Rattus norvegicus: one gene and its partners. The main gene of each other region encodes a partner of the protein of the gene in region 3 in a complex. Links are inferred from orthologs where the notes say so. Each region holds a gene or a part of one and is shown on either strand. Other genes may lie near its edges. The genes, in order: Cdhr5, Ush1c and Cdhr2.

Region 1 (4,364 bases), on a different chromosome or scaffold from region 3:
AACCAGGCAGCCCAGATGAGGGAGGAAGGGGAGTCTCCAGGAGCCTGACTGGAGTAGGGATTGGTTGTCCTTGGCATCAATAAAGAAGGAATTTAGACCCTGGTCTTTTAGCTCATGGTGTGTGATATCTGATAAAATCAAGGCAGTCTCTGCTCCGTGAACCTGGCAGGCTTGGACGGATCCATCCATCTCATTCAGTGACTAGGACCACACCCAGTTGTTGCCCTTTGAACCTGGAAAGCCAGCTAGGGCATTTTTTATCTCTGACATCAGCTGAACCCCTCTTTTCCTAGCTGAATTCCCTAGAGTCCAACCCTGCCCTGTGGTTCATTTAGCAAAATCTCCAGGGATCAAGGATCCCCACCCTGGCCTAGCCATGTGGTCAGGGTAAATGAAGTGGTGAGGAGGAGGCTCAGGCAGGAGTGGGAGGACCTGAGTTCATCCTATGTGGTCATGGCCCAGCCATGAGGCCTGGCCGGTGATGTCATCTCTCAGTGGGCGGCTGTGGTGAGACAGTGCCCAGTTCTGACAGAGAGAGGCCTGGAGCTTTGGGAAGGTTTTCAGACATCTAAAGCAAAAGACCCAGAGTAATGAGGGAGGGCTATGTAGGCCCTTTCAACAGAACACCCCCTACCATTCTCCTGGCCCCACTTAGGGGCTTCCTCTCATCTCTGAGAGCTTGTAGGGCAGAGGAGAGGAAGCAAGAGAGGAGGAAGCAGGTCTAATGGAGGGCTGGGTTGTGTCCTCTGGGATTCTTGTCTTCCATCAGATACTGGCTCCCCAAACCCCAGCTCCTCCAGTGGTTGAAAGGTTCTATTTGCATCTTACCACCCACCAAGGCTCTGCCAGGCCCTACCCTGGGGGCACTGCTGTGTTTCTCAGACAGCAGGAGCAGCTGACTGGGACACAGCCTTGTCCTTTGGGAGTGGAAGAGGGAAGGCAGGTAACATAACAGAGCTCCAGTGATTTTCTAAAATAAACATTGAAGAGAAAGAGAGGAGATGAGGGTCACAGTGGACCCAAGACCAATGGCTCAGCCCGCATCCCTGTTCTTGCTCCCAGTTCCCCAGCCCTGCCCCAGCTCCCCAGACCTATGGCTCCATCCCCGAGTCCTGCTTCAGCCCCCAACCCTGACTCAGCCTCCTTAGGTCTATGGCTCCAGAGCCTTGCCCTGGCTTCCCACGCCTATTCTCCACTCCTGGTTCTCAAGATTTTTTACACCTTATGTGTGGTGCCTGTAAGTTGAGTCCTCAGCTAACTTCCTGGAAGTCCAAGCTGCAATATGACCTCATGTCCCCTGTTAGTGCCGGCCGGCCAGCGGGATCCCCCTTGGTAGAGGCCATCTGTAAAGGATCATAAAATGAGGCGGTGCCTGGCAGGGGCGAAGGTCGCCAAGGCAGGAATTGTACCAGCCCTGGAGCAGGAATTGTACCAGCCCTGGAACCAAGCCGGCCGGACCCTTCTTCCAGGTGACAGCTGCCACCATGGGGGCTCCGGCCCTCCTGTGGCCTCCCCTGCTGTTGCCATTGCTCACGGTGCTGTTTGGCCACCTTCCAGGGACCTTGGCCCAGGCTCAGGGTAGGTACTGAACATGGGCAGGATGGGTGGGTGGCAGAGCTGGGCTGGGAGGAACCAACTTCTCCTTTGCAACTTTCTAGTCTGCTCTGCGAACCAGACCGTGTTTACAATGAACGAGAACACCACTGTTTCTGGGCCACTGGCGGACATTTTTGTCCCAGAAGACCAGTATGTGACCTTGGGACAGTTGTCCACCCCTAATGCCTTTAAGGTTGAGGGCAATAAGCTGTTTCTCATCGTGACTCCAGATTATGAGGTACAGACTGTAGACCGAATAGAATATGCCTTCATGGGGACACAAATGGGCATCCACTCCCCTAACCTGGGAAAGATTCAGGGAAAGAGGGACTGAAGGGATCTATATGCTCCTGGCAGTGAGGAGCCCTTTCAGGCCCAGTGGTTGGTTAGATGGTTGGTTGGTTGGTTGGTTGGTACTGAGGGGTAGGGCCATAAGGGGACAAAGTTGCCAAATGTCCCCTATACCCAGGATTTCCCACAGATGACTGGGGCGCTGGAGCGCTCCCTGCTCTCCTAGCTGTACTCTCCTATCCTATAGGAGGATAGTTCCCTATGTGGCAAGTGACTCATAGGGCCCCTGGCTTTATCCTCAGGAAAACTCTTTGCTGGAGGCAGTCCTGGAGTGTAAGAGAGGAGATACTTTGGTAAGTTAACCCCATTACCTGACCACCTGGGCCTTTTGTCAGAGTACCCCAAGACCACTCCTCCAAGACCTTACCCCCAGGGAGTCTGAACATCAACTCTCTCCTAGCCACTTCCATGATTCTTTTAGCCTAGATTCTGCCCTGAGCTCCAGACTCAAACTCAGCTAACGTAGAGCCCAGTATTAAGTCAGTACCTTGAGACCCTAAGTAGGCCCCTCACCCCTCACCTGGGAGACACCTTCACCTGCCAGCCACTTCTGATGTCACCCCATCCAAGGAACACTGTTGGCACGGTTGACTGTACCTCAGTTAGAGTCGGATTTACTCTTCCTACCTCTAGTCCGTCCCATGGGGCCCTGGCCAGTGGCTCTCCTTTCTGACCCTTCTTGCACATCCACTTGCTGTTCTTGTCCTTGGCCCTCCTCTATTCCCTCTCTACACAGGGAATCCCGAAAGCTCATAGCCACAACCCCATGCAGCCTCACAGAAACTTCCACATTTTCTTACTGGAAGTCAAAGTCAAATGCACAAGTGGGTGGGCAAGGCTGTGGTATGCAGACACTGACCTGGTGTGCAAATTCATTTTGATGCCTAACCCTCCTACTTTATACTGTCCCCTACCCTATCCCATACATCTTATCCTCCATCAATAGCCTTTTACTAAAGGACACTAGAAGAAGTAACAGGCCCCACACACTTCCTGCTTCACTGTGAGCAACTCTCACACCCTGCACTCCTGCCGGGCACCACGACATGTTACCCACACACATCTTGGCCTATGTCTCTAATAGATCATAATAATTAAAAACAAAACGAAATTCTTTTTTGGGTAAAGTTTAGTGTTAGACTTCTGTCTTAATCAGGGTTTCTATTCCTGCACCAATATTATGACCAAGAAGCAAGTTGGTGAGGAAAGGGTTATTCAGCTTACACTTCCACATTGCTGTTCATCACCAAAGGAAGTCAGGACAGGAACTCAAGTAGGTCAGGAAGAAGGAGCTGATGCAGAGGCCATGGAGGGATATTAGTTACTGGCTTTCTTTTTTTTCTTAAGATTTATTTATTTATTATGTATGAGTACACTGTAGCTGTCTTCAGACACACCAGAAGAGAGAGGGCATCAGATCCCATTACAGATGGTTGTGAGCCACCATGTGGTTGCTGGGAATTGAACTCAGGATCTCTGGAAGAGCAGTCAGCGCTCTTAACCACTGAGCCATCCCTCCAGCCCCATTGGGTTGCTTTCTTATAGAACCCAGGACCACTATCCCAGGGACAACACCATCCACAATGGGCTGGGCCCTCCCCTCTTGATCACTAGTTGAGAAAATGCCTTACAGCTGGATCTCATGGAGGCGTTTCCTCAACTGAGGCTCCTTTCTCTGTGATAACTCCAGCTTGTGTGAGGTTGACACACAAAACCAGCCAGGACAAATACCTGCCTAGTATGATTGAAGCCCTGTGCTCCACCTTCAACACACAAATATACTTCCCACACAGACACACAGACACACAAGAGACAGAGAGAGACAGAGACAGAAACAGAAAGACACAGACAGAGAGAGACAGAGAGACAGAGAAAGAGACAGAGACACAGAGAGACAGAGAGGCACAGAGAGAGCCCTGGCCTTGACATCTGTCACAGCTGAGAAGAGCAGCTTTCCGTCTCTGTCCTCCAGCACCTGGCTGTGTTCATGTCTCCCTGGGTCTCAGGAAGGGCTGTCATGGGAATGAGCTGTTTGCTTTCGACCTGAAGGCCCTTTTCCCACTATCCTTTTGGAGACCTGTTTTTGAAGTCGTGAGATGCTGTTTTTCTCCCTTTGATATTTTGCTGGTTGTGCCCCCAGGATTGTCATTCTCTCTCTTCAGCGCACCCACCACATGCACGTGGCCACACTCTAAAACTTGTCTTTACAGTTTGAGTGCATTCCTCCTAGAACAGGAGCTCCTAGGCCATCACATTGTTGATGCCACCAGTGTCTGTGGAATGAAAGACAAAGAATGACTGACTAACTGAATGGATGAATGAATGAATGAACAGATAAGAAGAGGAAGGAATGAATGATGGGGGGCATCAGAGCATTCTCCTCAGCCAGGGGCTGACCCTGGTGACTTTGCTGCAGG
Region 2 (4,396 bases), on a different chromosome or scaffold from region 3:
AGTTCACACACAAAAATAAAAATGAAAACAAACTTCAAAAGGGAAGGAAAGAGAGAATCAAAGATGTAAATGGAAAGAGAACCGTATCTCATGAGGTCTTTTCTGGACCACTAAATGCCCCATACACCTTTCTGTCTGGTTTCTGACTTACTCAGTTAATAATAAAGAATCCTAGTTACCATTAACTGTCGACTTGACACGACCTGGAGTCGGCTGAGAGGAAACCTAGGCCTGTGGGGATTATCTCGAGTACTAATTTATTCAGAAGGCAGTGAAGGACAGAGGCTGGGCTATAGCCGGCTCCCAACTTATGGAAAGCCCATGGCAGACGCACCATCCCTCGACAGGTGGCCCCAGCTTCACAACCGAGCTAGCCAAGCTTGAGTCTGGGAGCAAGAGAGCCAGAGACTGAGCCAGCAAGAAGCATTCTGCTATAGTCTCTGCTTCCCCTTCCTGCCTTTGCTTCTGTCAGCAGTGGAGTGGGACCGGAAGCATGAGATGGGGTAAAGCTGTCTTCCCCAAGTCGCTTTCGAGCACAGCATTATCCACAGCACCAGAGTGAAGCCAGATCAGAAGGTGAGAATCTAGATCATGCTTTCAAGTTATTCCCCCAGGCATATATCCTAGTCTTCATCTGGGCCATAATCCAGCCAACTGTGAAAATTGGCTGCTTGCTGGCAAATGGCAGAGGGATCTAGAAAAGAGACACTTCTCGTGTCCCTGAAGTTACCACTGTGCCTACCTGATTGGGACCACTGTTGATCTCCTTGCCCATCCCGTGAGGTGGTAATAACACGCCAAGCACCTATTGGGTTAAATTCAGGCACCAGGTCCACGGCCCCCACCGCACCTCTGAGAATGTGCGTGCTGGATTAATTTCTGTTGAGAAGGAACGTGAGTCAGTGGATGGGGGCATTCCCCAACTGGCAAGCCCCCACAGGACACAGTAGGACCCAGCCCCCTTACCCTCAGGAGTTTTTGCACTGAGAAGGCAAGTGGGAGAAGCCTGGATGAAACCTGGGAGAAGTCGAGACGGGTGGAGGTGGGGGCTGGGGTGGGAGTGTGATGATGGAGGGGTGTGATGGAGGGGTGGGTCCAAAAAGGGGGATGGTTTCTGCATGACAGTCCATCTACATCAAGAATCTCTGACCCCCTACCCCAGTGCCACAGCAAAAAGTTCCAAACCTCGGTGGGCCAGGTATGTAATCCCAACACTTGGGAGGTAGAGGTGTAGAATCAGGAGTTCAGAGCCATCCTCCTCTGTGAAATATTCACTTCAAGTCCTGCCTGGGCCACATGAGATGCTCTTCCAGAAAGGAAGAGGAGTCGCAAACTACCCCTCACCCCTGCTGCCCTGCGTCTCCTCGATCTTTTGCCTTAGTGTGTAGGGGGACCACGCTGGAAAAAGCTGCCAGCCTAACTAAGGCACCATTGCCACACAACAAGCTTCTTTTCATCCTGGGGAACTTCAGGACAGGTGACCCCGCCTCCAGGCTGTCTTTTCTCCTCCCAGCCCCGCCTCTGCTCCGCCCAGGCCCCACCTCTAACTCTGAAGGAGGCAAGTCCTGTCTTGGTGGCTGACCTGCCGCCGCCTGAGCACCGCAGCCAGGCACCCTAAGAAGCAGACCGAGCTGCAAAGCAACTGGATCAGGCTCAGTCATGGACCGGAAGGTGGCCCGAGAATTCCGACACAAGGTCAGAGCTGAGAGGTACCCCGCGCTATGAGAACTGTGGAGTCCTTGGTCCGGGTGGGTGGGAGATGGACAAGAGCCCTCTCCCTTGTCTGAAGGTCTTGGTCAGACTGAGACTTCTGAAAGTGTCCCTGCAAAACGAGACGGGAACACTAGAAAGTCCAGGTCTAAGGTTTACTGAACTGACCCTCTCCAGAAAATGCCATTTCTCCTTGGCCCTTCAGGGGCTGGGAACTGGACGGAAAGCCCAACAGTGCTGAGGGGCAGTTTTGAACCAGTACAGATTATCTTCATGTGGAAGGACCAAGGAAGGGCCAGGATGTGAAACGCCTGGCTTTGGTCTGACAGACCACTCAGGTAGAATCTTACTTCCTTGTGTCCCAGTGAGGGATCACATTGGATCTTCAAAGTCCTCTAAAATCTTGACTGGCATCAGAAATTTCCTAATGCTTTTTCCAGATTACAGGGTCTGTGGAGGCCACAGAAGGCCACTGAAGGACAAGGGACCCAGTGGTGGCCTCCAGGGGTAAAGCCAGTGTCAACAGTTCCTCACAGGCCCTGCCCAAGGAAGAGAGCTGTATGTACACCCTGACACTAGAGACCAAGCAGAACCCCTTCCCAGTCTGAGGGGACAGAGTGCCTAAAACACAGTCTAGCTGTCCCCTCTCCTCCCTTCCACATAGAGCCTCAGAGATACACAGAAGTCAGTCACTGTGGAGGCACAGAGGTTACAGGCCAAGAACTTCCACCCAACACGAGGGATCAGCCCGTCATTCCCTTAAATCATATTCTGAGTGCTTACCTACTTTGTGTCAGACCCAATCTGTACCCTCACATAATCTACCCGTGTGCACAGGAGACAGGCCTTGGGCTCAGAGCACAGGGATCAGGGCTTAGTAGGGGCCGCAGGGGTGGAAGCTTCCTAAACACAAGGCCAGGATGTTCCTGTTCCCACTCCCAGCATTGAGAAGTGGCAGAAAGTCCAGCAGGAACGGGCAGCTGCTGAATGTCAAGGGGATCATTTGTGGGCCCAGGGCAGTGTGAGGGGGGACAGCTCAGCTGCAGTTAACATTCGCTGAGTGTCAATTTCAGCCAACCCACTTTAAAGGCTCCTGTCTCCTGTTGGAGCTTAAATTTCTCTTTCCTGGCCTTGGGCTGGGAGTCATGTAAAGTCGGTTCCTCTTTCAATTTCTTGCAGTGGAGTTATCTACACTTTACCTCTTGGGAGAGAATCACCCCCAGGCTCCCTGATGTCTGACTTGACTCTACATTCACCCCAATTCTTCCTCTCCCAGTTCCAGAGGACCTCAGGGCCTCTGCATTTCCGTGTTCAGGCGGGCTCCTCCTCAGAGTCATTACCTATTAATGTTCCCGTGTCACAGGCAGGGCAGGCATCCTAGTAAGCAAGGCCTGGGCTGGACTTTGTGCCCTGCAGTCTCAGACATGGCAACAGCCTTCCTCTCTCATGCGGGGGATCACGAAGGAGCTGAGAGGAAAGATGAGGGTGAGAGGCAGGCAGGCTGAGTAAAATTTACAACCTTATTGCTTGTTCTAAAGACCCCTTCCTGAGTGTTTCGGGGGAAATTCACTCCTAAGCGGAAGTTCACAATCTGAATCTTGAGTTGTTAGAGGTAGTGTTTAAGGTAATGTGTTGTCATGGCTGATACTGGGTGACCTGTCTGTGACTCAGGTCTCAAATTTGTGAATTGGGCATACCGTTTAACTAATAACATTTTAATAAGGTTTGTGTGTTCGTGTGCGCATGTGTGCGTGTGTGCATGTGTGTGTGTGTCTTATGTAAATTGTGCTCTTGGAGAATCCCCACACTGAGGGTCAGTTCTCACCCTTGCCACTCACTGACCTTGAGCAGGCCACCGGATCTCTGAGCTTTTGTTTCCTTCCTTGTGAGGGGGCTGTGCGGTGCCTGTGTGAGACAGGATTAGGTAGGAATTCAAGTGTGGGGGTGCTCCGATGCCCAGCCCAAGTCTGCGTGTGTTACTGTAAAGGTGCGCTCCAGTTCTTGGTAGGTTCTGGTCCAAAAGCAGTCAGTGGCACTTCCAGCACAAACTTCCCTCTTCAGTTGGAGGGAACAGCCTTGAGTTGGAAAGGACCAGGCCAGGATGATCAGGGACTAAGGCGCTGGCGCTGAGCTCTCCCTGGCGCTGAGTGGAGCATCAGCCTTTCAAAGCACCCTCTTTGCTCCCAGCAGAAACCTGGTTATTCATTTGCTCAGAAACCATTTATTGTCTCTGCAGCAATCACACATTTATGAGCAGCTCTGGTGTACCCTGCCCCAGGCCAGTCAAGCAGGGAGGGGTGGGGCGAAGGAGAGCAGAAGAGCCCCTCCCTTCTAGGATTTGCTATCCATTCATTCATTCATTCATTCATTCATTCATTCACTAATGCATGTGTGTAATAAACACTCTCCGGCTTCCTAATCTATGTCAGGCACAGCTTTGGCACCGAGGAGCAGACCAAAGCCTTGCCGATCATCAGGACCATACCCTGGTGGGGAAGACAGTTACCAAGGAAACTAACAGTATCTTATAATGGAGTACTGTGCTGAATGCTGGGAGAAAAGTACCCGGAGTGGGGGGGGGGCGGGGGATAGAGACCAACAGGTGTTATGTTAGGTAGCCAGGAAGACCTCTCTAAAGAGGTGACATTTGAACCTAGAAAAAGAGGGGGGTGCCATGTGGTGGATG
Region 3 (4,168 bases):
TCTGATTCCCGTGCGGTGTCTGCTGAGAAGACTGGGCTGCTGGTGTTGATTCGTGTTTGGTGTTTGCTTGTGGATTGAACTAAGGAGATTAGAAGATTCCCAAAGAACTGTCTCTAAACAGGTCCACTTCCCTAGTATCCTAATAACCTTTCTTTTCTACTACCCCTGGAGGGTGGCGGGCTCGAGGGGAGGTTGAACCCTTATTAAAGCAGGTTGAGAAAAATTTATGCCTACACTAGGTGCTCAATAAATACGGATTCTAGCCCCTCCCCCAGCGACTTGAGGCCAGTCTTCGCCAGGACCTTGAAGAACCATGAGTTCTTTTGGTGGATTTGGTGCTCCCTGAGAACTTGTGTCAGCACACCAAAACCTCAAAGGGATGCCTCAGTATCAAGAGGGAGCAGCAGCTTCCTCAGGCCACTCAGGTAGGAAGAGGCACACGGCTGTGCTATGCGGTTGGATGAAATGAACTTGGGAATTGTTCCCCCATGGGAGGCAACCACTGGGAGTGTGTGACCCTGCCCTTATGAGTGTGAGGAGACCCTGGGGCAGTGTGTGAACCTGCCCTTTGATTTTGATTTTGATTTTGTTGGTTTTTATTTTTGGTTTGTTTCTCTGCATAACTCTGGTTGCCCTGGAACTCGCTGGCCTCAAACTCTGAGATCTATGGGCATCTGCTTCCCAAATCCCGGGATCGAAGGCGCCACTTCCCCAGCTCACCTTTGTTTCTGAGAGATAACATCTCGCTGTGTCTGGTCTAAAACTTGTTCTATAGACCAGCTGGTCCTGGAACTCATAGGGATCCACTTGCCTCAGTCTTCTGAGGGCTGGGATTAAGGGCATGTGCCACTATGCCCTGCATTGACCCTGACCTTTGATGTCCTGCTTGGAGGGGACAGATATGGGGCTGAAAAGGCTTCAGGGTGCCCTTTCACACCAGCCTCAGGCCTTGGCTTGAAGGCTCAGTGCTTGATAACTGTCAAGTCTCCTCACCCCAACAGATCTCCCCACCCCACTTTCTCCACAGGTCCCCTCTCCAGAAGATGAACCAGGAGAGGAGAGATGGCCCTGACATGTCCCCTGACTGTCACCATCTCCAGTTTGCAGCAGAACCCTGGGCTGGACATCTGCCCCTTCTCTGGCAGTGGGACTGCCTACTCCTCTAGTACCTCAGCCCTAGGGCCTTGCCCGCCCTAGCTGCAGCCAGTGCCTTCTGAGGAGGTGTGGTCTCTGTATGGTTAATGATTGCTCCGGGGAGGTGGAGATGGTGCCAAAGTCTGCAGCTGTGTTCTGCCGGGCCCAGACAGTGCTCACCTGTGACTGGGTGCACATCACCACCTCTGGGCCCCTTCCAGGGGTTGTCCAGCTCAGCTGCTTCGGGGGCTCTTAGCCCAGGGGTAAGCCGGGGTCCTTGGGATTGAGGCAAACTTTGAGGTCTTTCCGACTTGGCATCTGGAGCGTGGCGGGGACACCAGGGGGAAGAGCTAGCTGTGTCATTAGCCACTGGGATGGGCAGAGCCAGGCTTGAGTTGGTGAGGCCACCAGTGAAGCCTGTTTCTTCTGGAATGCAGGGCTAAGACCTCCTTCCTCTCCAGGCAGTGACCACCTCCTGCTGTCCCTGGGGTATTTCTAGCCTGAGGAGAAGGGTTCCCCTAGGAAACTAATCGACAACCTCATCTGTTATCTGAAAGGGGAAGATGAGGAAGATGGCTGAATCTGGCCATGGGCCCGAGGGGGAAAGGCTGGCTCCACTCCGCCTGGCTCAGATCTTCATTCAGCTCCTTGCAGACTCTGAGTGAGCTGCTGACTGCTTTTGGTCCTTGGTCTCTGCATCGGTGGGGTGGCATGATACTAGTAACCTGGGGAGGGCTTGTGAAGTAGACATGGCAGGGGTTGGAGGCTGTCCCTCACAGACTCAGAGATCAAATGCTAGGTCACCTCAGGGAGGACTAACTATGCTGGTCCCAACCCTAACTTAATCCTCATCCTGGTCACAGGGTAAAGACTCAGCTGGGCCAGCTCGTCTTTAGACAGGACTTACTTGCTGGTTGCTCCCAGGCAGCATTTCAGAGCATAATGCCGATCTCCTGATCGGCACAGGACGTAGCCTGCCCTCACCTTACTCCTCAGAGGAAAACTGTAGCTGAGGGTAGGGCAGGCTTGTATGTGAAATGCTGAAATCCAAACCTGGGGCCTGATCCATATCTGTCCCCTCAGAAGAAGCAGCCAAGAGGGCGGGCACCATCTCTGGCTATAAGAAGCCTAGTATACCTGGGGCATGGACACTTAAAGGTCCCTGGGTCCCTATCTTTGCAGCTGCATCACTTGGCTGGGCTGGTGGGATCAGAAGAGACCCCTGTAGGGTCAGCAGAGTGGTACCTGGGTCCAGCCTTGCCCGCTGCTGGTGTTTAACCCTTTGTGGTTGGCCGTCCGAAAAGGTTGATGAACAGTAACGGTAGGATAGCTGCTCCCAGAGATCAGCTGTGCGAAGGAGTAAAAGAAAGCAGAAGTGAAAGGAAGGGCTCAGGGAACTTCTGAGGCTGCGGCAGGGCGGGGTGGCTGTGGGGTGAGGAAGCCTGTAGCTGGGTCATTAGTGGAGGAGGGCTCCCTTCCTCTGTGGCCTTCCAAGAGGTCTGGGATCCTCACATCCAGTGGACTGAACTGTAGAGCCTTTGGTTTCCTGGAGTCTTGTGAGCTGCGGCCAGCGTGTCCTCTGAGATAAGAGGGAGGAGCCCCCTTGCTGTGGATGGCCTGGGTCTGGGAGCCTGGGGGTCCATCGAGTGATCTGGAGCCCCTGGTGTTCCCGACTTTTCCTCAGACACGTTATAGCATGAGTAGCTGAGTATTTTTGCTTTTAGGGGACACTAAATAATTGAACACACTGATGGAACACACCAGAACATCTCCTCATTCCATGGCTTGCCCGGCACAGCTAGCCTGCTTCAGTAGAGAGCCTCCTGCCCAGCCTCAAATAAGGCGGCAGGAGCTTGGGAGCAAGCACCTTGGATTTCTAGGGTCTAGATCTGTTCTTTCTTCCTCTCCTCTTCTTCATCTTCCCCATCTTCTTCTTCCTCCCTCCCTGCTTCTCTCTCCTTTTACAGGTCTCTCCATACAGCTGAGGCTAGTCTAGAACTAGAGAGCCTCCTCTCTCCTGAGTAATAGGATACTGGTGGCACTCCAGGCCCAGCTTCCGATCTCTTAAAGATACAAACTATATCAGGCGCAAAGTGGACGGGGGCTGGCATCAGTGGTGTCTCACGTGAGCCTACGTTTGACTTTTGGTCCCTCCGAGGAGGAAAGGGCACCTGGGGGAAGTTTCCCCAGCTCCAGTACCTGGGCACATCCCCTCTCTTCTCCTGTATGTCCTGTAGCATATGACCCCTGACTGGAGCTCAGAGACTCTAGCTGTGACCTGAGCCTTGAAGGACAGAGAGAATTTGCACAAGGGCAAGGGACACAAGAGGGCCTTTGGCGCAGAAGAGACACATGCAAATCAAGGGGAAAGATGATGCAGTGTGTGTGTGTGTGTGTGTGTGTGTGTGTGTGTGTGTGTGTGGGTGCGGACTGTGGACAGGATACGGCAAGAGGGAAAGGGAACCACTCTTGGAAGGTGAGACCCAGGTCCCCTAAGGATTTGGCTTGCCAAAGGTGGGAAGTGTGTCCAACAGCTGGTCTGAGCCTTTGCACAGGTCAGGTCTTGGGAGTGCCTGTGCCATCGAGGTGAGGCAGGTCACCAGGTGCTTCCAATCTCACAACACATTTTTCTTAAGTGATGGAGTCTGGGAGATGCTGCTGTCAAGTGCAGAACTTTGGCCTTATTATTGTTAGTGAGTATGCTTGTGAAAAGTCACTGTGACAAAGGGGACAAGGCTGAGAAACTTAGGGTCAACTCATCCAGTATAGGAAGGAGAATCCAAAGGAGTTCTAGGAGTGAGTCAGACATGACTCTGTGACTGCTGGACAGGAAACCTAGCTTCCTGGAGACTTGAGAATCCCCATAGGCAAAACAGAGTATCTAAGCCATCTCTCCAGGAGTGACTCAACAGGGATGGCGCGTGAGCTTTCAGGTGTGGGGCACTATCACCTGAGTTACACCATGAGGACAGGAGGGAAAGTAGGAGGAAACAGAGAAGGGGGCTTGAGTGGAGCCTGCAAGGGGCCATGGGGA

The links.
Region 1: Cdhr2 (region 3) and Cdhr5 share a complex: the UniProt entries of both Homo sapiens proteins name them as parts of the IMAC/intermicrovillar adhesion complex. The link is inferred for Rattus norvegicus from reciprocal best matches to the Homo sapiens genes CDHR2 and CDHR5.
Region 2: Cdhr2 (region 3) and Ush1c share a complex: the UniProt entries of both Homo sapiens proteins name them as parts of the IMAC/intermicrovillar adhesion complex. The link is inferred for Rattus norvegicus from reciprocal best matches to the Homo sapiens genes CDHR2 and USH1C.

Annotation. Positions count from the first base shown.
Region 1 is NC_086019.1:205,808,174-205,812,537, reverse strand, and holds the start of Cdhr5 (cadherin-related family member 5 precursor), read left to right. Parts: upstream 1-1,445; 5' UTR 1,446-1,484; coding exon 1,485-1,578; intron 1,579-1,658; coding exon 1,659-1,834; intron 1,835-2,189; coding exon 2,190-2,240; intron 2,241-4,363; coding exon 4,364-4,364. Other genes in the region: Sct (secretin precursor), read left to right, coding at 1-19. UniProt on the Homo sapiens protein: Intermicrovillar adhesion molecule that forms, via its extracellular domain, calcium-dependent heterophilic complexes with CDHR2 on adjacent microvilli. Thereby, controls the packing of microvilli at the apical membrane of epithelial cells.
Region 2 is NC_086019.1:105,877,228-105,881,623, reverse strand, and holds the start of Ush1c (harmonin), read left to right. Parts: upstream 1-1,541; 5' UTR 1,542-1,659; coding exon 1,660-1,695; intron 1,696-4,396. UniProt on the Homo sapiens protein: Anchoring/scaffolding protein that is a part of the functional network formed by USH1C, USH1G, CDH23 and MYO7A that mediates mechanotransduction in cochlear hair cells. Required for normal development and maintenance of cochlear hair cell bundles.
Region 3 is NC_086035.1:9,914,832-9,918,999, reverse strand, and holds the start of Cdhr2 (cadherin-related family member 2 precursor), read left to right. Parts: upstream 1-1,301; 5' UTR 1,302-1,397; intron 1,398-4,168. UniProt on the Homo sapiens protein: Intermicrovillar adhesion molecule that forms, via its extracellular domain, calcium-dependent heterophilic complexes with CDHR5 on adjacent microvilli. Thereby, controls the packing of microvilli at the apical membrane of epithelial cells.